Kluyveromyces lactis: one gene and its partners. The protein of the gene in region 4 interacts with the protein of the main gene of each other region in a pairwise test. Links are inferred from orthologs where the notes say so. Each region holds a gene or a part of one and is shown on either strand. Other genes may lie near its edges. The genes, in order: SEC20, VAM3, SGT2, SEC22, MDY2 and GET3.

The links.
Region 1: the proteins of SEC22 (region 4) and SEC20 interact in binary tests that used the Saccharomyces cerevisiae proteins (3 or more experiments, as listed by UniProt). The link is inferred for Kluyveromyces lactis from reciprocal best matches to the Saccharomyces cerevisiae genes SEC22 and SEC20.
Region 2: the proteins of SEC22 (region 4) and VAM3 interact in a two-hybrid assay, tested with the Saccharomyces cerevisiae proteins (2 studies listed by BioGRID). The link is inferred for Kluyveromyces lactis from reciprocal best matches to the Saccharomyces cerevisiae genes SEC22 and VAM3.
Region 3: the proteins of SEC22 (region 4) and SGT2 interact in binary tests that used the Saccharomyces cerevisiae proteins (3 or more experiments, as listed by UniProt). The link is inferred for Kluyveromyces lactis from reciprocal best matches to the Saccharomyces cerevisiae genes SEC22 and SGT2.
Region 5: the proteins of SEC22 (region 4) and MDY2 interact in binary tests that used the Saccharomyces cerevisiae proteins (3 or more experiments, as listed by UniProt). The link is inferred for Kluyveromyces lactis from reciprocal best matches to the Saccharomyces cerevisiae genes SEC22 and MDY2.
Region 6: the proteins of SEC22 (region 4) and GET3 interact in binary tests that used the Saccharomyces cerevisiae proteins (3 or more experiments, as listed by UniProt). The link is inferred for Kluyveromyces lactis from reciprocal best matches to the Saccharomyces cerevisiae genes SEC22 and GET3.

Annotation. Positions count from the first base shown.
Region 1 is NC_006039.1:1,042,460-1,046,276, forward strand, and holds SEC20 (Sec20p), read left to right. Parts: upstream 1-1,886; coding exon 1,887-2,975; downstream 2,976-3,817. Other genes in the region: ERG24 (delta(14)-sterol reductase), read right to left, coding at 1-27; NDJ1 (Ndj1p), read right to left, coding at 402-1,388. UniProt on the Saccharomyces cerevisiae protein: SNARE required for targeting and fusion of Golgi-derived retrograde transport vesicles with the ER.
Region 2 is NC_006039.1:1,127,983-1,131,450, forward strand, and holds VAM3 (SNAP receptor VAM3), read right to left. Parts: upstream 1,827-3,468; coding exon 1,038-1,826; downstream 1-1,037. Other genes in the region: MET4 (Met4p), read left to right, coding at 1-886; DNA-directed DNA polymerase alpha catalytic subunit POL1, read left to right, coding at 2,347-3,468. UniProt on the Saccharomyces cerevisiae protein: Required for vacuolar assembly. Provides the t-SNARE function in a late step of the vacuolar assembly. Required for homotypic vacuole membrane fusion, autophagy and fusion of biosynthetic transport vesicles with the vacuole.
Region 3 is NC_006040.1:104,074-107,677, reverse strand, and holds SGT2 (Sgt2p), read left to right. Parts: upstream 1-1,823; coding exon 1,824-2,831; downstream 2,832-3,604. Other genes in the region: ALG6 (dolichyl-P-Glc:Man(9)GlcNAc(2)-PP-dolichol alpha-1,3-glucosyltransferase), read left to right, coding at 1-942; KLLA0_D01133g (uncharacterized protein), read right to left, coding at 2,895-3,604. UniProt on the Saccharomyces cerevisiae protein: Co-chaperone that binds to the molecular chaperone Hsp70 (SSA1 and SSA2). Regulates Hsp70 ATPase activity. Required for recovery from heat shock.
Region 4 is NC_006042.1:1,884,701-1,887,768, forward strand, and holds SEC22 (SNAP receptor SEC22), read right to left. Parts: upstream 1,673-3,068; coding exon 1,028-1,672; downstream 1-1,027. Other genes in the region: KLLA0_F20229g (uncharacterized protein), read right to left, coding at 1-695; polyphosphatase DDP1, read left to right, coding at 2,214-2,753; protein GET4, read right to left, coding at 2,796-3,068. UniProt on the Saccharomyces cerevisiae protein: Nonessential SNARE involved in targeting and fusion of ER-derived transport vesicles with the Golgi complex as well as Golgi-derived retrograde transport vesicles with the ER.
Region 5 is NC_006037.1:674,110-677,155, reverse strand, and holds MDY2 (Mdy2p), read left to right. Parts: upstream 1-1,351; coding exon 1,352-1,987; downstream 1,988-3,046. Other genes in the region: TGL4 (triacylglycerol lipase), read right to left, coding at 1-89; SHR5 (Shr5p), read right to left, coding at 348-1,124; Rab GTPase-activating protein MSB3, read right to left, coding at 2,099-3,046. UniProt on the Saccharomyces cerevisiae protein: Required for efficient mating. Involved in the production of alpha-factor, the KAR9 and TUB1 location to the shmoo tip and nuclear migration into pheromone-induced shmoos.
Region 6 is NC_006041.1:142,811-146,527, reverse strand, and holds GET3 (guanine nucleotide exchange factor GET3), read right to left. Parts: upstream 1,762-3,717; coding exon 712-1,761; downstream 1-711. Other genes in the region: ATG16 (Atg16p), read left to right, coding at 1-259; BUG1 (Bug1p), read left to right, coding at 2,315-3,271; MRPS8 (mitochondrial 37S ribosomal protein uS8m), read right to left, coding at 3,604-3,717. UniProt on the Saccharomyces cerevisiae protein: ATPase required for the post-translational delivery of tail-anchored (TA) proteins to the endoplasmic reticulum. Recognizes and selectively binds the transmembrane domain of TA proteins in the cytosol.

The DNA of each region.
Region 1 (3,817 bases), on a different chromosome or scaffold from region 4:
TAAAGCTGTCATTGTTGCTAAGGACATTGGGTATTCAGCGCATTATAATAATAATATATACTAAATGCAAAAGTGATTTAGCCTTCTTTCTCTTAATTCTGTACTTTTCGCTACTTTATACTATTCTTTTTTTTAAGGTTCATGCTTGAATACGAAAATTGCTAAACGACGAACACATGCAAGGGTTCTATTTGAGAATGTAAACCGCTTACTTAACACGCACCATTGGGCAATCCTCTAATCCGGTTTTTTTCTATTGCTAACCTCCATTAGAAGTAAGGTATGTCATCACTGAAATGATAAGCGAGGTCTCCCTTGGCAGTGTCGGAACAGTAAACGAGCTATTACAGGTTCATCCACTAAAAATGTTATATTTTCTGGATACTCGGCATGTCATTAACCTAAAAAAACCACAAACAGGTTTCAAGAACGCTCATATTGCAGAATAGCATATATTTTGTCACAAATAATGTAATATTATCGTCATTCTGATAGCTATGGCTAGGGATCTGTAAAAGGTCCCAGCTATGGGCGATACCGTTACATAGAAGTATAAGTCCATGCTCTGCATTTATCCAAATTCCGTAAGTTAGTTTGGCATTCACCTCATCTTTTGAAGCATAATTTAAGCAAGTTAAATGGTCCAATTTTTCAGTGAAATTATCAATCGGATCACAGCTCATGATGAAGGTGTACTCCTTATGATATCTTTGTAAAGACCTCAAAAGCTCCACTCTTGTCAGCCGCTTGGCATTTGACCAAGCAGAATATTTGAATGTAATATCATAGAATAAGTCCCGAATGTATGCCCTTGTCAATAGCCCAAGATTTTGCTGAAGATAAATCTGGGCATATTTAGGATGTCTTGGTTTTTGAGCTTCGAAATTTTCCATGATTTTAATGAACTGTTGCCGATACTCTTCACATAATCTGTTCATTTGAAAATGGTCGTAATTGGTCTTTTGTAACAGGCGAGGAAATATTGAGCACTCATAGGAGTAGTGATCCGGCCAATGAGATTCACTTGACACCAACGTTGCATCCATTGAAATATTTTCATCAGCATAAGAAAATGGTCGTATATTCAAATAATGCTGATAAAGTCGATTCTGGCGTGGTTCGAATACTTGAAATGGTTCTTTTTGATGTTCCGATCGTTGAGTTAAGGTTATATTTGGACAATTTAACAACCAAACTAGTAGACTATAATTTCTTGACTCCCTAGCAAGCCTAGTTCTCAAAGTTTTGATAAATGAGCTCGGCGGCAATATCCTTTCTGGATCAAAATTGTCCGCAATCAGATGGGATCCTTTAAATAAAGACAAATTAACATAACAAACTGTCTCCTCATTGTTACTACAGTCATAAAACTCGTCTAATTCGCTCATTTCGAATTGGTTTGGGTTTTTAAGATAGATTTCTTTATATTTTACTGATTGTTGAAATGAAGATGATAAATACTTACTGACATTTTTTCTATTTTTTTGTCTTTGACCTGAATTTTAAACTGCTAAATTCCCATATAAAGATTGAATGATGAAAAAAGCTCAACTGTAAACCTTAATTAAAGATACTTTTATAGTATTGCATTTCTACCTACATCAAGTTAAAGGTGTCATTGGAATGCGTGTTTTAAAATCAACTAACTCGCTTTAGGGTCGGTATTACAAGTGCTCCATAAATCAAGGCTAGCGCCATTGTCACGTATCCGGGTAACCAAACATATCCTTCAGTCTAAAAAAGATCAATACTTGATATTTACCAATAACAATTTCAACAATAGCAGTAACGGCAGCAGCAACAGAAAAGTTGTCGTAAAGGTTTTGAACCTGAAAAGCATCCGACATCTTTATGGTATAATCACATAGAAAATAAGAAGATAAGCAATGATGTTAGTATCTGGAGAATCATTAGAAGCTAAAAGAAATCTCTTGCACTCTTTGTTTTATGAGAGTTTATTCAGGGAAGAACAAAGTTCTAACACCAATGAAGACCTTGATGATAAGGTTGTGAGTGAATTGCTTACGTTTGAAGATATGATCCGTAGCTTTCAGCGGATAATTGAACTGAAATATGGTGTGAGAATACGATACGAGCCAAAATTCACGATAGAGAGAGAACCGAGCGGAGTCGATAAGCATGATGAACAATGGATCGAACAAGTCAATGAACTAGTGAAAAATGTTGATTTTAGGAAAGAGCTAATAGAGAAATACGAGGTTTCTTTAATTGAATCACGTATGATGCTCAAGGAAACGTTGAGCGATGCGTTGCAAAGTAAACTCATGGAACGTAGAGGCAGTACAACTTCCATTGATTCTGATTTGAACAGGTCAGAGATAGATCGTGACGGAAGCACAAACGGCATACAGCTACCGAATACAGCCACTAATATCAAGGGTAAGACGTTACAAGTAAACAAGAAAATCACGTCTAATCTACTTCGTACGAACCAAATCTTACGTAGCAGCGTGTTACAGAGCGAATTGAATATCGATGAGTTGAAACAACAGACGGATACCTTAATGTTAGTGAATGATAAGTTTGACAGGTTCAAGGCAATGTCACAGGCTTCAACAAAACTCATTAAAGCCATTAACAACAGCAGCTATCAAGAGAAACAAAAAGTGTACGCCGCAATTGCATTTTTCTGTGGTTGTATAATGTGGGTTCTATGGAGAAGAATATTCAAATATCCAGTTAAATTTACCTTCTGGCTATGTTTCAAATTCTTCAAATCGCTACTATACACTGTAGGGATAGTGAAAAGTTCTGTGTCCCCAAATCAAGCTTCTTCCAGCTCCACAGTGGTTTCTGCAATTTCCTCAGTGACAGATACTATTTTAGACCAAGCTTCCTCCTCAACAAGTCTTCTGAAGGAGGTATTGTCACAAACAGAAACAGAACTCACATCATCTCTAGATGTATCTCAAGCAATCAGCGATAGTTTCGATAAGCTAATGGACGAGTTATGAAAGGAAAACAGTAATCTAGGGAAATAGTAAGAGCCCGTTGAAAATCCAGAAGCAATTAGAGTTCCAATCACGTGATTTGTTTAATTTCGAGCCATTACATGTGCTTGTGTATTTGTGTTTTGTTTTCACATGTCGTTCTGGAGAAGAAAATATTCCATACCGTACGAAGGTGTCTAAACAAAGGGAATACCTGAAAAATTTTCGCCGAACATGCACCGTGGTATCGCCGAAAAGGGAAATCATTCTGCACATTTTCTCGAAAAGCAACAAATAACTGAGGTAAAAATCTCGCCGAAACTAAAATAGGCTTTTCGCCGATAGCGCAATTCGGTAAAAAGGCTAAACTGCCTTCGTTAGGTTAAATGCATTTAAGTTTAGTTAATAGCAATTTCATTATCTAGATTTGACGTGGTTCGTATCTCCTTCTTGTCGTGGTAAGGAAAGGCGTACAAGGAACGAACTCTTCGAGACCGACGATGTAGTTTTTCCCCCTGCGAGTTGGATAAACATCAAACATGGATACCTTTCTCTTTTCAGTATCTATGTTTCGTCTTCCGCTATTTCCTCTACAGTCTTGTTTGTGCCTGAATTTTTCTTTGTTTTTCTCTGCAAGAAAAAACCATTTAAATATAGTGCGTTCATGACAATTTTCGATTTTCTTGTCCCTTCTGAGCATCTTTTCGGTATTCTGGGAGAGAAAAATATATGATATAGAAATTCTGTAAAGTTTCAAGGATCATACAGCCAGGTCATATAGAAACACAAAGAATCACCTCTTCGAATCAGTTTCTTTATCAGGTAAAAGACCATTTTATTGTCAAAAAGGAGAAACTAAACACGGG
Region 2 (3,468 bases), on a different chromosome or scaffold from region 4:
GGCTTATTATGAAAGAGAAAGAGAAAAGTTTGATCCTCCTGTGAGGAAGCCAACTAATTTAAATAATCACTCTACAAATAGACCACCATCGTCAGCTTCCCATCTGGGCTCATCGATAGATGTGAATTCGCAAAATCAACTGGTTCCTGAACCTCAAGAACATATTCAAAGCTCCGTTGGCATGCTATTGGATTTTTTGCATGAAAAACCTGAGCCATCTCCTCAATCAAGTGTCCATAAACCTAATCCAAAAAGAGCCAAAAAAACTCCAGTGGAAAAAGAGTCTAGAGTTATTGATACATATATGAAAAACTCACCGAAAGTGCACCACGGCTCAATTTCTAACAACATAAAGAAAGAAAGCGAAGAGAATTCTGCAAAGCAAACACTGGATGATGGTATCAGTAAAACACCAAAATCAGTTGTCAGGAAACTAGAATCAGCTTCCTCTCTTAGGAAGGATGTAACGTCTGCTAAATTGAAGGAAGAGGTGAGACAATCGGAAGAACTTCTCAATGACAAGGAAAATGCTGCTAAGAGTCTCGATGAGAAGATAAACGAAAAAAAGCATAATACTGATTCTGATAAAAACAATTCCTCCAGTGATGGTGTAGAATCGTCGTCCACTTCCTCAACCCTTTCTTCAAGACCCAAACTGCCGAACTTGGATCAAACTAAAAAACTTAAAGAGAAAGAAATGGAAACTTGGGTCCAAGATCTTTCACAGTTAGCTTGTGACTTGAAGCAAAGAATCAATACCCTTGAAATGGAAAACAGACTTCTCAAAAATCTTGTCATTGAACGTGGAGATCTCAAGAATGTTGAGTCTTATGAACTATCCAAAAATAACTCCTCCGAAAGCACTAAAAAGGATACTGACAAGTAAGCTATGATTAATAATTAGTTGTAACCTCTAAGTCGGACATATTTACCTGATGATGCGTGTTCTCTAAAACGTAACGTAACTTTCATCCAAGTATAAGGCCAGAGATAAATTTTGTATTAATATATAGTTACATTCCTCGTAGAATCTAACCCTATGATAGAATCGCGATAAGAGTTATTAGAGTGATAACAACAATAGCTACTAGAAGTATTGTACCACATCTGTTCTTTTTCCTTTGATATTCATTTGCTTTGTGAAGTTCTTTGTTCGCCTTTTGCAAATTATTAGATAATCCTGTCACATTTTCGCCAATTGTGTCAACTTGTTCGCCCTGTTCCTGTACCAGACTTCCTAGTTGTTTGAAGATGGCATTGACCTCTTGCACAGCAGAGTGGATTTTTGATATGTCCTGGGATCTTTCATGTTGAATTATCGTGTGAAAATCTAACTCATCCTGATTCAACAAAGGCTCTTGCTGTTGGGTAGACAAAAGTAACGGAGTATCCTCTGAAGAATGATCCCTCCTCTCGATATCGTCTTGTATTGGCATGCTTTCATATTGCGATACGAGATGTTCCGATTCATTATCTTTACTCTCTTCGTCAGGTATGGGATTCTGTACTGCCCTATTCTCATAATCGGTCTTTACACTGTTATATTGTTTGCTTAACGCTTGAAAATCTCGAGCAAATTTATCTTGTGTATCTAGCGAAGTTAAGTCAGCCAGTTTTCGACTAATTTTCTGGATTTCGGGGATTACTCTATTTTTTATATCAACCCTCAATAGTTGTCCGTCCTTGCTTGTCCCTATTAGATGAGCTTTACGCTTGAGTAATTGAATATTCTGTTCTAGTGTTATCAACAAAGGCACCGCATCGTTTCCACTAGAATCTGCACGATTGTCCTCCTTTTTTGGAGTACTATTTTGATAAAAGGACATCAGATGTAACGCGATTATCTTTACGGGTCCTGCTATCAGCTGTTTCCTTAACAGTTATCCTTCCCTTCAGTTAATGATCACAAACCTCAATTTGAGCACTTTAAAATTGAGGACAGTCTTAAACCACAGGTCATGTGATCCATTTTTCTTTCCAAGCCAACGCCAATTGGTTCAACTAATGGAAATTCGTATCATAATATTGAGGAGCGCACACTCTCTAACACTTCAGCGGCTTCACCGTTTAACCACTCAAGTGTTGTCGGTATTCTACTGTCACTCAATCTTTCGCTCGCTTTTCTTCTCATGCACTCTCGCTTTGTCTCAGCGTTGGTGCCATTAAGTTCATAGATTTCGAACGCGTGCTTTGCAGATAGATACAACTTTAAAAAAAAAAAGAACGCGTAAAAGTAAGAACATCTTCATCATCTTCTTCTTGCAACTCAAACCAGGAAAGACAACAAAACTAAATTACTAGGGTAGTTCGTACTGCCACCCTACACTATTAAAACACTAGCTCGGGATGAGTAATGCGAACAAACTTGAACTGCTCAAAAAATTGCAGAAAGCTAGGAATAATAAATCGAATAGGGATGTGCTAGATGAACAACTGGAAGAAGAAAATGTGTATGACTTGATTGACGAGGATCAATATAGGAGTAAGAAAAGACAAGAGTTGTTAAGAGATGATTTTGTTGAAGATGATGATGGCAGTGGATATGTGGATCGTGGTGTAGATGAATGGGATCAAAGTCAGGAGTTCTACTCTGATGAAGACGATGGTGTTGATGCAAAGTCAGGCAAAAAGCGTAATAAGACCAGTAAGAATAACAAAGGTAAGGATACCATCAGCGATATCATAAAGCAACAAAATGTCAAGAGAAAAATGACAATGCCAACAGAAAAACCTAAGAAAGTGTCACTTGCTGAATTTGATGATATTTTGAGTGAATTTGACGCAGAGCCTCTGGTTAAGAAGCCGAAGCTAACGATATCCAGAAAACAACCTGCAAATACTACGCCTATGAACTATAAACACCCTCAGGTAGATACATCCCCACTTAAAGGTAAAGATGTTGTACCTTTTAAAGCTGATAGCGTTAATCCTATCGATTGTGATTCAATGGAAGAGGACCACGATATTGAATCATTATTAAACGATGTGGCTAGTTCTCCTTCAATGAGCAAGCAGAAGACATATCAAAGCGAAGATGACAGTGAAGATGACGAAGATGATATTCACTTTGGTAGAAAAAAATTCAAATCAATAGCTACTCAAAGGCAGATGAATATCAGCGCTCAAACAGCACCATTAACGTCTTCGCCAACATATGTCACTGCTCCTAACACCCCATTGTCAACTTCTACAGGGTCCACACAAGCAACAGAATCAATTTCCGGATCACTGAGACAAAGAATACCTAAAGAGGATGTAGTAGACGCTGAGACCGGTAGTTTTAACTTTTTTTGGACTGATTTTACCGAAGTCAACTCTTCTTTGATTCTCTTTGGTAAAGTTAAAACGAGAAAGAATCAAGTAGTCTCTGCAATGGCGCAAATCAATGGTTTCAATAGAGAGCTGTATTTTCTACCTAAGGAGGGTAAAACAGCGTCTGATGTCCACCAAGAAATTGTACCTCTATTA
Region 3 (3,604 bases), on a different chromosome or scaffold from region 4:
TGTTTTAAGCAAATGGCACTTTATTATTCTCCAATTTTCTTTGCTTATCTATTGAGTAAATCCACATACTCTCCAGGGATCAACTTACCTAGGTTATTTGCGATCTCTGTTTCAACAGCTCTTGCATTCATTGGTTCTTTCGGTCCAATCTATATCTTTGGAGGATACAAGAACTTAGTGCAATCAATGCACAGGATTTTTCCATTTGCCAGGGGTATCTTTGAAGATAAAGTTGCGAATTTTTGGTGCGTTTCTAATATTTTCATCAAATATAGAAATCTATTCACTCAGAAGGATCTTCAATTATACTCATTACTCGCAACAGTTATTGGGCTTTTACCATCATTCATTATAACATTTTTATACCCGAAGAGACATTTACTACCATATGCTTTGGCCGCATGTTCGATGTCATTCTTCTTATTCAGCTTCCAGGTTCATGAAAAGACAATCTTATTACCTTTACTTCCTATTACACTCTTGTACACGTCAAGAGATTGGAATGTTCTATCATTGGTTTGTTGGATTAACAACGTGGCATTGTTTACACTCTGGCCATTACTGAAAAAGGACAATCTAGTATTGCAATATGGAGTCATGTTCATGTTTAGCAATTGGTTGATCGGTAACTTCAGTTTCGTCACACCACGCTTCCTCCCAAAATTTTTGACACCAGGGCCATCCATCAGTGATATAGATGTTGATTATAGACGGGCAAGTTTACTACCCAAGAGCCTAATATGGAGATTAATCATTGTTGGCTCATATATTGCAATGGGGATTATTCATTTTCTAGACTATTACGTCTCCCCGCCATCAAAATACCCTGATTTATGGGTGCTTGCCAATTGTTCCTTGGGCTTCTCATGTTTTGTGACATTTTGGATATGGAACAATTATAAATTATTCGAAATGAGAAACAGCACTTTGCAAGATTTATAGATGTTAAAATTTATAATAGCAGTAATGATACGGGGCGTACCTTGCAAGAGCAAAACCGGGATATATATTTCACTCCTCTGTTTAATCATTTAGGATTCTACTTACACTTTAATTAGTATTCATATATCGAATGTCAGTTTCGATCAAAAATAAACAAAGACAAAAAGCACCAGTATAAGACTCGTAAATGAGAAAAACAATTCTTCGTAATGAAATTCAATATAGTAAAACTCTCCATGCTGGATGCACCGTATTTGTGTAACGGCATACTCACTAAATAGGTAAAGTCTGAATATTACTTTAAAAGTATCATATGATCTGTTGTAGCTGTTATATAGAACGAAAAGTAGTAACCGTCACGAAATCTTATTCCTCGTGGCCCAATGGTCACGGCGTCTGGCTACGATGTTAGCTACTTCTGAAACCAGAAGATTCCAGGTTCGAGTCCTGGCGGGGAAGATTTTGTTTTTGATTAACTTTTTCCTTCTTTCAAGGAGCCAGCAACTCTTTGAACTTCCTTTCCATGGTTGATGGTTCCAAACTATTAGTAGCTTCTATCAAATATCACTACTTCTCAATTAAGACGGCACGAGTCAGCTTAAAAATGCTAACGATGTGAAATTGACGTGTCTCTGTGAATCTTTCGTCTTCTGTTGCCTTCTCTAACCGAAGGTTTTTCCGTACTTATCATTTTTTCGCCATTCACATTCAGGAAAAAGTTTATTATAATAGTGCTTAAATGACAAGTTGCCTGGATTTTATGTACTTTCAAAGAAGAGTTATCATTGACTCGTCCTTTGTTACTGCTTCATCTTATCGTATACAGCGGTTTGTGATCCTTATTTCATCTTAAAGCACTGTCAAAAGTTTAGAAAATCCGAATGTCCCTATCTAATAAGGAAATTGCTGCTTTGATTGTTGACTTTTTGTCATCATCGTCTTCTTCAGTAAACGAAGACTATGTTGATTCGTTGAATGTTGCCATCGACTGTATCACTGAGGCCTTCCAATTTGAAAGAGATGAGACTGATTCTTTAATCTCTGGTCCTTTTAATGGCAAGAAATTACCTGAACTATTAGCCTCAGCTCCCTCTTCTGGAGGCGTTTCTGGTGAACCAGTGAAGGTTCATATTCCAGTTGAAGATGCAGCAGCTAAGGCCAAGGCTGAAGAATTAAAGCTACAGGGTAACAAGGCCATGGCTGCTAAGAAATTTGATGAGGCTATTGAAAAATACACTGCTGCTATCGAAGTTTCTCCATCTAACGCTGTTTACTACTCGAACAGGGCTGCAGCTTATTCTTCTTTGAAGCAGTACGAACAGGCCGTTAAGGACGCCGAGCAAGCTATTGAAGTTGATCCTACATATTCTAAGGGTTTTTCTAGACTTGGATTTGCGAAGTATGCTTTGAATAAGCCTGAAGAAGCTTTAGATGCTTACAAGAAGGTCCTAGATATCGAAGGGGAAAAAGCTACTGACGTTATGAAAAGAGATTACGAAACTGCCAAGAAGAAGGTAGAAACCTCAATGAACTTAGAGAAGAGCTCTACCAGCGCTTCTTCTGAAGATGTTTCTGACAAATCTGCGACTGAAGGTCCTGGTGCAGGCGCTGGTGGCTTACCAGATCTTTCAAGCTTGTTAGGTGGTGGCGGTCTAGGCGGTGGTTTAGGAGCACTGCTAAACAACCCTCAAGTTATGCAAGCCGCTGAAAAGATGATGCAAAATCCAGGTCTAATGCAGGATATGATGTCCAATCCAGCAATGAAGCAAATGGCCAACCAATTCTCATCTGGTGGCGGCATGCCAGATTTGAGTCAAATGATGAATGACCCATCTATTAGAGACATGGCCAAAAACATGTTTGGTGGCGGCAACGGCAGCCAGCAATAACCAGTATACCCAAACTTTTGCTTGTCCTTTTTGACTGTATATATTTGATCTATATATGACTAGTTAAACATGCCCTTTCATGGTATCAATCAATTGTTGCATGATTTGTTTATTTTCCCTGATTCTTTGATCAACTATGGATTTAACGATATGATCGTGGTAAAACTGCTCTTTGAATTCGATGAATAGATTTATCCCCACTGCGATCGATTCATGTGTTGTTTTGATTTCACCGCCAATTTTCTTAAGGTTCAAAGAGCTCATTTTCAGTTGATTGGATAACTTATTCCTAAATTTAGACCTTTTACCTTCAATGTAGGTATCTATAAAATTTCTGTTTGCTGAAGAAGGAGGCGCCTTGTCATTTGGGAAATTTTTCTTCCACTCTTTCTTCAGTTCCATTAATTCACCAAAATGTTTCCACCATAAAGTTGTCTTTGCGAGAAGAGACTCAAAGTTATTAAGTAAAGTGACAACAGAGTGCTCTAGATATTCCAAGTTTCGAGTAAACTCATAATATGAAAGATCATAAGACCAAGCGCAGTTTGTATTTTCAAAACTTTTTGCTACACCTTTTTGCGACATTTGGTTCCCCAAAGATAGGAAAGAGTTTCGCATCGTTATGACATCTCTGTGTTTGATTTGTTGTACTATCGCAAGTTTCTTCAAAATAATCAAACAATTTCTCAGCTTCTGAAACTCAGCTAGGTTGTATTTCAAGAAAGTTTGAATGCCGTTTATCTCCTCCGGTTCTAACTTTATGAACCGTTCCG
Region 4 (3,068 bases):
TCGATCAACCATTGTTGATGTTCGGGTCTCAAGTCTCTTAACGATTTAATATCGTCCCTATGTACAATAGCAACCAAATAAAGGGCATCCATATTGACACCATCCCATTTCATATCAGGGAGCACCACAAAGCCGTCTTTGGGGCTCTCTTGGTCGAAGTACTTGAACACGACCCTGTCACTCTCTGCTCCGTTATACAAGATGTTCTGAACCCATTGCAACCTACCGTTATTGACCATATCATCCACATAAGGCTTCACGATACGCTTATATATCTCTGGGGTTTCCCTCACCATATGGCACAACTGCTTATCGTACTTCTCGATATGAACCTGTGTGGCAGGCCATATCAAGTTGATCTTTGCCGTGGGGTTTAACTCCAAGTCCTGCTTCATCACAGACATCCCCCAGAAATAAATGTCGTTATTTGCTATTGGTTTCAACGTCTGAATGGAATTCATACAAGAATATTCAGATTCACATTGGTGCAACGACAACGTAGACGAATTGGGATTGTTCACCACTTTATCAAACTGGAAGTGTGTCTTCTCTAGAGTCACGATAGCATCCTGACCCTTAATCGTACCTAATAATGAAATTTGCTTGGTTTGCGGATTAGAGTTCAAGACCCTGCTAAATCGAAACTCATCGATCAAAGCTCTGAAATCAACGGCATCTGCATCATTGTCTCCCATATTGTCTATTCACGAGTACTACAATAACCTCAATGTATCTATCGTGTTGTATACCGACTTGTAAACTCTATTTTACTTTACTTTCTTACATGATATTTCCCTCTTCCCTTAAGGAAGATCATCTGCTTTTTAAAGGTTTTTCATGTTGAGAAAAGAATCGTTCAAGTGCAAAAAGGCGTATTGATGATGATGAGACATACGTTAGTCAGGGCACATTCAGAGCAATACTGAGCCAATATTTGTACATTTTTTTGCTGAAGTTTATACAGGGTGGAATTATATACATATTTAAGTGTACATAAGTGTATCGATACTTCTGTACAGCGAATACTTCATCTTAAGAACATCCACCACAATAAGAATACGAAAAAGAATGCTATGATCGCAATTGGCGCGTACTGGCTAATCAATAGGTCGAAGTTGATCTTTTGTGCGGAGGCTCTGTACTTTTTAGCGTCTTGTCTTAGGGACGCACTCATATCACTCATCTTATCCAAGGAATCACCTCTGTACAATAGATCTTCGATGTTTTTTGTCATGATTTGTTTGACACCTTTTAGATCCTGATTCAATTGGTCCATGTTCCCCTGTACTCTTTTGTCGTTGTAAACTTTCTTGGTCTTTTGTAAGAAGTTGTCGAAGGATACGAACTCATACGGTCTAACGTTCGATTTCGAGAGTTGTCCCCCGTAACTGTGTTCGAATTCTTGTTGTATATCTGCCAAGTATGAGAATGCCAAATTACGTGGATAGTTCCTTTCTGCGACCACAATATAGACCACGGTGTTCAATCTGATATAATGGATCTCGAAATCACCACTTTCCACTGTAGCCTCGTTTGCTGACGTCGGAGTGAATCTTGATATTAGGATCTTCACCTTCTTCTTTTGCTCTTGTAAACTGGGATCAGTGTCATCATCCACTGAGGCACACAATGGTAACCCATCTTCTCTGAAAATCAACGTAGAACGAATCATGCCCGTGCCTATTGCCTTGTAAATCACTTGCTAAAACTGAAAGATCGTTCAGTGCTTGGTACAGGGCAATACGTTTTCTAATTTGCTGAAGTTTCATTCATTAGTGATGGAAACTTGGTTTTGATTCGATTGATTTCATTCCATGTTGAAAAGACGAGTTTAAATCGAATAACGTGGACAAATACAAGGCTAAAAAGTGGGAGTATGAACCCCATACTGACTAGCATGGTGCCCTAACCATATGAGGGCTACGAGAATGGAAGAACGTATCTGCCAGAGACGGTTTCCCAGCTGTTTCTTCTGTGGTGTTGCGCTTAATGATTCGGTCCTAACACGTATTATTTAATAATTACCCTGAAACAAGAGTCTCTGTCAGATTCACAATTGAACCACCGATCAACGTGTATTTCATACGTGGCCGCACGTTCATGTATCCTTCAAACTGACCACAGCTGGTAAGTCACAGCTATGTGTCTTGTGTACCCTGTTGATGAAATCGGTCTGAGAAACAGTCTATATATATAGTATTAAGGAACCGAAGATGTCAGACTTTATCAAGACCGACACCTCAAGAGTAGGACGTGAGAATCAGTTGTATTCAAGTGTCACTGGTGCTAGACTCGTTGCAGGATGTATAATACTGGATGAAAGCCGAGAGAATGTCTTAATGGTCCAGTCATCCGCTCATAAGAAGAGATGGGTGTTGCCAAAGGGTGGTATTGAAAGTGATGAACCTGACTTTGAGTCCGCTGCAAGAAGAGAGACCTGGGAAGAAGCTGGTGCCACAGGCGATATAGTGAAAGCACTTGGTTCCATTGAGGATATGAGACCTCCAAAGGACTGGAACCCAGATTTGGAAGCATTCGAGAGTTCGAATGACGAAACTGTTAACAAATGGCCTCCCAGGTCCGAATTCCATTTCTTCGAGATGATTAATGTTAAATTGGAGGACAATTATCCTGAAGTGAAGACAAGAAACCGTCAATGGTTCTCCTACGAACAGGCCAAAGAAAACTTGACCCGTGCCAAGAGGCCAGAGCTCATTGAGGCTCTGAATAGAAGTAGCATCAAGAAAAGTTAGCATTATATATAACATAGAGTATGTTTATACCGAAGACTATTATTATTTACCTCCAAAGAAACCAGACATCATATCTTGCAAGAAGTTGATTGGTTTCTCGACCTTGATACCGAAGTATTCTTGGCCCAAGAATTGTAGCTCAGAGTTGTATTTGTTGGCAAGAGTTGAGTATTGTGATTTTAGATTCTGGAAAAGAATAGTTTCTTGAGTTTGACATGCGATTATTAACAACTGTAAAAAGTTCAACGATTCCCACGATGAGAAATAATCAATCTTATATGGGCCTTTCTCTGTTAACTCAAATTTTACATCTGT
Region 5 (3,046 bases), on a different chromosome or scaffold from region 4:
GCCCTCTTGTAGTAGTTCTTAATGACATAACTAGTAATCGGGTCATCTTTAATATCAGTCACGCTGGGCGTGTTCATGACATTCGGCATTCTAAAATATAAGTAATATCCCGCTCAGCAGGTTTGTGTGTATGCAACAGAGCAAAGCGTATGTAAGCTTATTATCTGATGCTATGCTTCGTGCCCTTTATAGGTTGATTAGACCACATCAACAGAATCCTTTCAAGCAAATCAGTCATGTGGTGGTTATTAAAGTGTCATTCTTTGCTTTGTTTCCTTTGCATGTTTCCTTAAAGGTTTCAACGCCGTCAACAGTGATTGGGCATCGGTGTTACAACATCAAGCTGGTTAAAGAAGGACGATAAGGGTGTCACAATGGGTTAGTAAGGGTTCATTTATGGCTGTGCATGGTTTAATCCATGCTGGGCTATCTATACATACCGATAGATATGAGCTTTCTCGGGGCGGAATGATCTTTATGCCCTTCAATCTGAACGATTCCGATCGATTGATTTCCGAGACATAGTCTTCAACTGATTGCAACGGGTTAACGAACAGGTATGGCTCGATGATACTCCATAAGTTCAGTGTCAAGAGGTCCAATATGACGTTGACAAAATTTCTTCTGGTTATTGGGTTGTATGCAGCCTCTAAGAGTGAATTGATTCGAGTTACAATTTCAGTCCATTCCGCTTGATCCAAATAGTTTGATAATGGGCTCACTGACGTTTCGCCATACCATTGGCCTTCAAACTCTCCTGCCGGAACGAACTCCTTGTTGTGAGTATCTGGTAAGGCTGCTGGTTCAGACCCAGGTAACTGTGTGCTGAAATTAGGAAATTCTGTGGATGACTCAAACCTTCTGGGAATTCGAACGACTCTAGTGGTTCTAAATTCATCGCTTTCTTCAGGTACGTATATGTTTGGAAAATGGGTGATGCAGATTGGATTCTCAGGTCCATGCTCTTCGCATGATTCCTCATCTAGTGCTCTGTACTTTGTAATCACAAATTCATGGTAATTGAAGAATTTCGGTTGTTGTGCAGAAGTTGATTCTTCAACGGTAATCGCAGCTTTAGATAGATCTGAACTGTCTGCAGTATCTGCCAGTACCAGTGATACCATTTGTGTTGCAATGTTACCTGGTAGAATGCCGTTTCTACCTCTTATTTCCCGTATTGATCTGATATCGTTCGTGTTTTTACCCTTTTATGTAGGAATTGAAATAAATTTAACGGAATTGATATTTATGTTCAGATTAACACTAACACAAGTTAGACATCTAATGAAGAGATGTATAAGGGAGTATAAGGAACTAAACTACTACAATATCGCACATCCCACCTCCAATCATGTCTGAACTTGATTTCGTTGGTAAATTTTTGAGTTTGGCCGCTTTGAATGAGCCAAAACTTGCATCGAACTACCGCAAACCATTACATGAAGTTACAAACCTTGGTGTTTCGTTGCCCCCATTGAGGTACAAATATGATCCAAGTAAATCACATTCTAAGAGTATCTCTAAAGTTGTAGAAGTTACCATCAAATCGATCAAAGCGCCTAAATTTGTTCATTCCAAAAGCTTCGAATCTACCGATACCGTGGGTCAGATCAAGGAATTCTTAGTGGAAACCGAGCCTGAGATATATACAACTGGTCAAATCAAGTTGTTGTTAAAGGGTAAAGTCCTCCACGACACTCAATTGGTCTCCGATTTGAACCAGGATAAAATATCCCTTGTCGCAATGGTTTCCAAAGCAGAGAAACCTGTGGAAACAGCACCTTTGCCGAAACCAGCGCAGGAACCTGAACCTGAACTTGAGTTGATGGATGTCGATATGGAGGATCCACAGTTGGATCTTTCATCTCAAACAGATATTGATTTGCCTTGGGATAAAATTAGAACCGTTTTAGAGAGTAGCTTGGATGCTAGCACGGCCTCAGTGGCCCTTGGAAGGCTACAGAAAGGTTGGGAGTTGAGTAAGTAAAAGATAGAACATGTCATTTGTTGGTCCATAATGCAAAACAACCCGGTTATATATGTAGTGATTTTATACTTTTAGATATTTCTGCTCTTTCTTCCATTGGTGATGAGAGAATTACCTCTTTCTGCTCAATCTACGTACTCTTTCTTTGATGTTATTATTCCAATTTACCCCATTTAAACCCTTCTTGAATCCGTATCCTTCGTTAGAAAAGGTTTCATTGATCAGTTCCTGTGCCAATTTGGAGTCTCTCTTATTATTGGAGTTGGTGGTTTCATTCTTCATTACATCTTGGAAGTTCTTGTATTTGGCTCTTTGAGAGATAACGTACTTCTTACATCGTTCGATTTCCTCTTGATTGAGTGCATTGAATCTCAATCTCCTCTTGAAGATGGCTTTGTCTATAATATCGTTGGGGTTTATCAACCGTCTAGGGTATGTTTGAATAGCTTGGAATAATTCCATGTCTTCATCGTCTGAGTTTCGGCTGCTAACGTGATTTAATTTTGGTAAATTGGTCTCGCTTAGTTCGATGATCGCTAACGACATCTTGAAAAGAATGTGTGAACCCTCATAGAAGAGACAATCCCATATACGTAAGGTAGCTTCAATAGGTACTACTCCTATGAAACAGCTCATGAACCAACTGGCAGTACAGAGTGTGACTGGTGGCAACTTATAGAGAAATTCGTTCTTATTGGATAGGCCGGGACTGTGTTGTTGATCTTTATTGGAATATATTCTTTGCCAAAAGTGTGGCAGATACTCTTTTATGCATAGTAAAAGCACACCTTGGTTAATATTGACACCTTCCAGGTTAATACTATGCACTCCTGGTAAGTACCTAGATGTCATTATTACTAGCATCCAAAATGCACGTTCTTCATCCATGAATAATAGTAAAAGACCAACTAAGAAATTCATCGATTGACAATAACCGATCTTAGCGTTATAGATGGCGAAAGCCTTTAAGATCCTCCTTAAAGATTTTATAATTAGTGGGTCCTCGGAACTGACCTTGGATCTTTGGAAATGGATATTATCAGGGAAAGTCCGATGTAA
Region 6 (3,717 bases), on a different chromosome or scaffold from region 4:
ACGACTTAAAAACAGCATAAAGAATCTAAGGGAACATCTTACGGAAAAGGAAGAGGAAATAAGGCAACTACATGATGTTATTAGTGTAAAAAATCGAGATGCTGAGCGTTTGAATGACGAATTGATCAGCATCAACATAGAAAACAATCTTTTACAGGAAAGGTTGACACACATTCAAGCAGAATATGACACCTTGATTGAACGATGGTTACTAAAAGCACAAAGAGAGGCCGATATCATGAATACGAGACTTAAATAGATATGACATACTCTATATGCCTCAAGTTATAAATGAGTTGCGAGTTTTATAAGTGATTTGAAGTTAATTCCCTGCGACTCAATGGTACATCAAATCCCAAGTGCATGAAACTCTTTAAAAATTCAGTTTTCCAAGAAATTTGCTTCAGTAGCTCAGTCGGAAGAGCGTCAGTCTCATAATCTGAAGGTCGAGAGTTCGAACCTCCCCTGGAGCATTTCAATTTACCAAAATTTTTTTAGCTTTCGGATCTTTTCGTTTACTATCACGAAGCCTGAAGTAATAATGTTTTCATGTTGCAACTAAAGTAGATGTTTAATGCTACATTATAGAGGCTAATTCGATGCAATGATTCAATTTAGAATCTGCTCTGCAATTATTTAGTGTACAAATAATAAAAAATTATAGATTGGCCGTGTAATGCTAGGTATCAATGATTCATATTTATCTTCCTTTCAGTCTTGTTGTTCCAATTCATAAATCACTTTGCTGTCTGCAACTGGATCGTATGGTTTTCTCAAGAATTGGGAGAATTTTTTCAAGTTGTTTAAACCTCTAATTTCACCTGCACACAATGGCATCTTAACGATATGGAAATCTTCGTACAATTCATCAATTTGGTCCAAATACTTCTTTTGCATCTTCCATCTGGATTGGCACCTTTTACAGCTGTCTCCTTCGTCATACTCAGCAAATAATAACTGGTTTACAATGATGGAGTTCACGTCCATATCGTATGAGATCAATTCCTGTACCAATCTTTCAGTTTCGTACAAAGACAAGAACTCACTGATACAAACACAGACAAAAGTTGTCATATCAGGATTGGTGAATTGTTCCTTGATTTTTTCCACATTAGACTTCAATTCACTCATTTTACCAACAAGATCGACGTTATTGGCACCAGCCAAAGAATTCAACATTGGTCCCAATCTTGCAGTGATTTCTCCGAATTTCTCCAAGAGTTTAGATAGAGTGCTTGGTAACTGTAAAAACCTTAGAGTGTGACCTGTTGGTGCGGTATCAAAAATAACGGTATCATACCTGTCACCTTCACCCTGTTCTTGGTTTTTGATGTGTTTCATCACTTCCATGAAAGAAAGTGCCTCATCAATACCTGGAATCGATCCTGTCAATTCAGATAGTGCACCACCTTGCAAAAGATCACTGAACTCTCCCGATCCAGTTGCATTATTGGCAACAGCCATATCATTCATATCCTTCAAAGCGGCAGAAGGGTCAATCTCCATACATGACAAGTTGTTCATCCCAGTGACTTTTCTTGCATCTTTACCAAACTTCTCACCGAAGGCGTCGCTTAAATTGTGTGCAGGATCTGTAGAAATCAATAGATATTGTTTCTCTGGTTGTGCCAAAGCCATTTGAATGGCAATCGAACAAGATGACGTCGTCTTACCGACACCACCCTTACCACCGACAAATATCCATCTGTGTGTTGAGGAAGTTATCAAAGAGTTTAGATCTGGTTCAACTGTTAAATCCATTGTACTTTTCCGCTTTACTTGGTCTCAGGTTTACACACTTACTGATTGTTATTCCTACAGTTGAAATAAGAGGGCGTCTTAGTTGTAAAACTTCTGTTTATCTACGCATGTCGCCACTAAAAGTGACAACAAATGCTAAATATCTTGCTGAAGACTTCTTCTACGTTCTTTTAAAGAACACGTCACTATATACGGTGGTGATAATAATTTGATATTTACCAATCGCATACCGAATAATAAAGAACATGGTACAAATACTTTGAGTTTGCTTCTCAAAAAGTCTTGAATCTTGTTCTCTTTCGAACCTAAATGGCTTTGAAACATTGTGAAATTAAACGATATTATTTGATCGATGTTTGCCTCAATGATGGTGATTCCTTTCTTATTAAATATGTGTGAACCATAACGACACGTTTAGATCAAAAAAAAAAGTTGCCCCATATGAAATAAGAATTTACATGGTGAATGCCAAATCTGAAACAATTGCGAGCTAAATATTAAAACCAATTGGCGTCTTCAATGCAAGTGAGTACACACATTCGAACAGTTGATTATGTCTGAACTATCCCCCGAGGAAGAAAGAGCCAGAAAGCTCGAAGAAGCCAAGATAAGGGTTGAAGAGTTAAAGAAGAAGAATAAAAACAAGAAGAATAAGAAGAAGAAGGACAAGGAAGATCTTGAAGCAGCTGAAGTCAAAACTGAAACTGAAACTGAATTGGAACCGACTGATACTAATGTATCAGAGAGTCCGGTTCATTCAGATGAACAACCAATCGTGGAAGAGACAAAAGCTGAAGAAAAGGCTGAGATAAATGCTGATGCAAAGGGCAATGACAACAACGAAGAGAAGTTTGAAAAGGAGTCTGTGGAGAAGTCTGAAAAAGAGTCTGCGGAGAACAAGAAAGACTCCGAGGAGGAAGTCCTCGAGAAGGAAGCAACTGATATACCCAACCCAACCGAGGAAGTGTCTAAAGAAGCTTTTGCAGTTCAACAAAAAGAGGAAGAACCAATAGAGGCAAAAAGTACAGATGAAGTTGAAGAATTGTTTGGCGGGAATGATGATAAAGAGAAAGATTTCCTTTCGACGATACAAGAACAGAAAAGCCAAGATGAAGTAATAAACCTCAAGGAAGAAGTTTCAAAGCTAAAAGATCAAGTAAAGCAATTGAAGTTTGTCAACATAGATCAAGAAAGCTCCATAGAAGAGCTTGAAGAACAGATAAACATCATGAAATCTCAACTCAATGATAAAACTGTACAATTGCTGTCCGCTCAGCAGGAGCTATCTACGTCTAGACAAGAAGTAGAGCAGCTTAGAGCAACACAATCACCACAACTAACCCCTGTGGAATTCTCTTCCTTTGATAGACATTCTCCATCCAAATTCGAGCCATCGAGACAGATTCAGCATCCAACGACAGACCCTGTTATGTTAGCTAAGTGGAAGAACTGGAATGTCGATATGACAAATTGGAGATCAGTTGGTGTTGGCCCAGTTGTGGAATTTTAAGTAAGTTTCAGCCTTGTTACTATTACCACAGAGCTATGATTTTTTTATGATTTGTCTCATTTGTCTCGTTTAGGCAAATATAATGCTATAATGTACAAGTATACAATTATATTAGTGTATGTATAAAACTGATATTTGACACGATTGATGATTGTCGCTAAAAGGAAAATCGCACTGATTGAATGTTACTATATACATGGAATATGAGGTGGATTTCCTTTTGATGATATTGGAAGTTTCGATGGTCCATCACACATGTTGATGAAATATTCTGCACTTTGTTTTTGATTATATGACTAATGGTCTTTATTGCTGGGAATTTTACTGATGATTCACCTAATTCTGCATAGCACTTCACCACCGACTTTCTTGGCGATAGCATCATCGATATCCATAATTTCATTCCCAGATTTCACTAAAATTAATTCACCAGGAGCCAAAGGTTT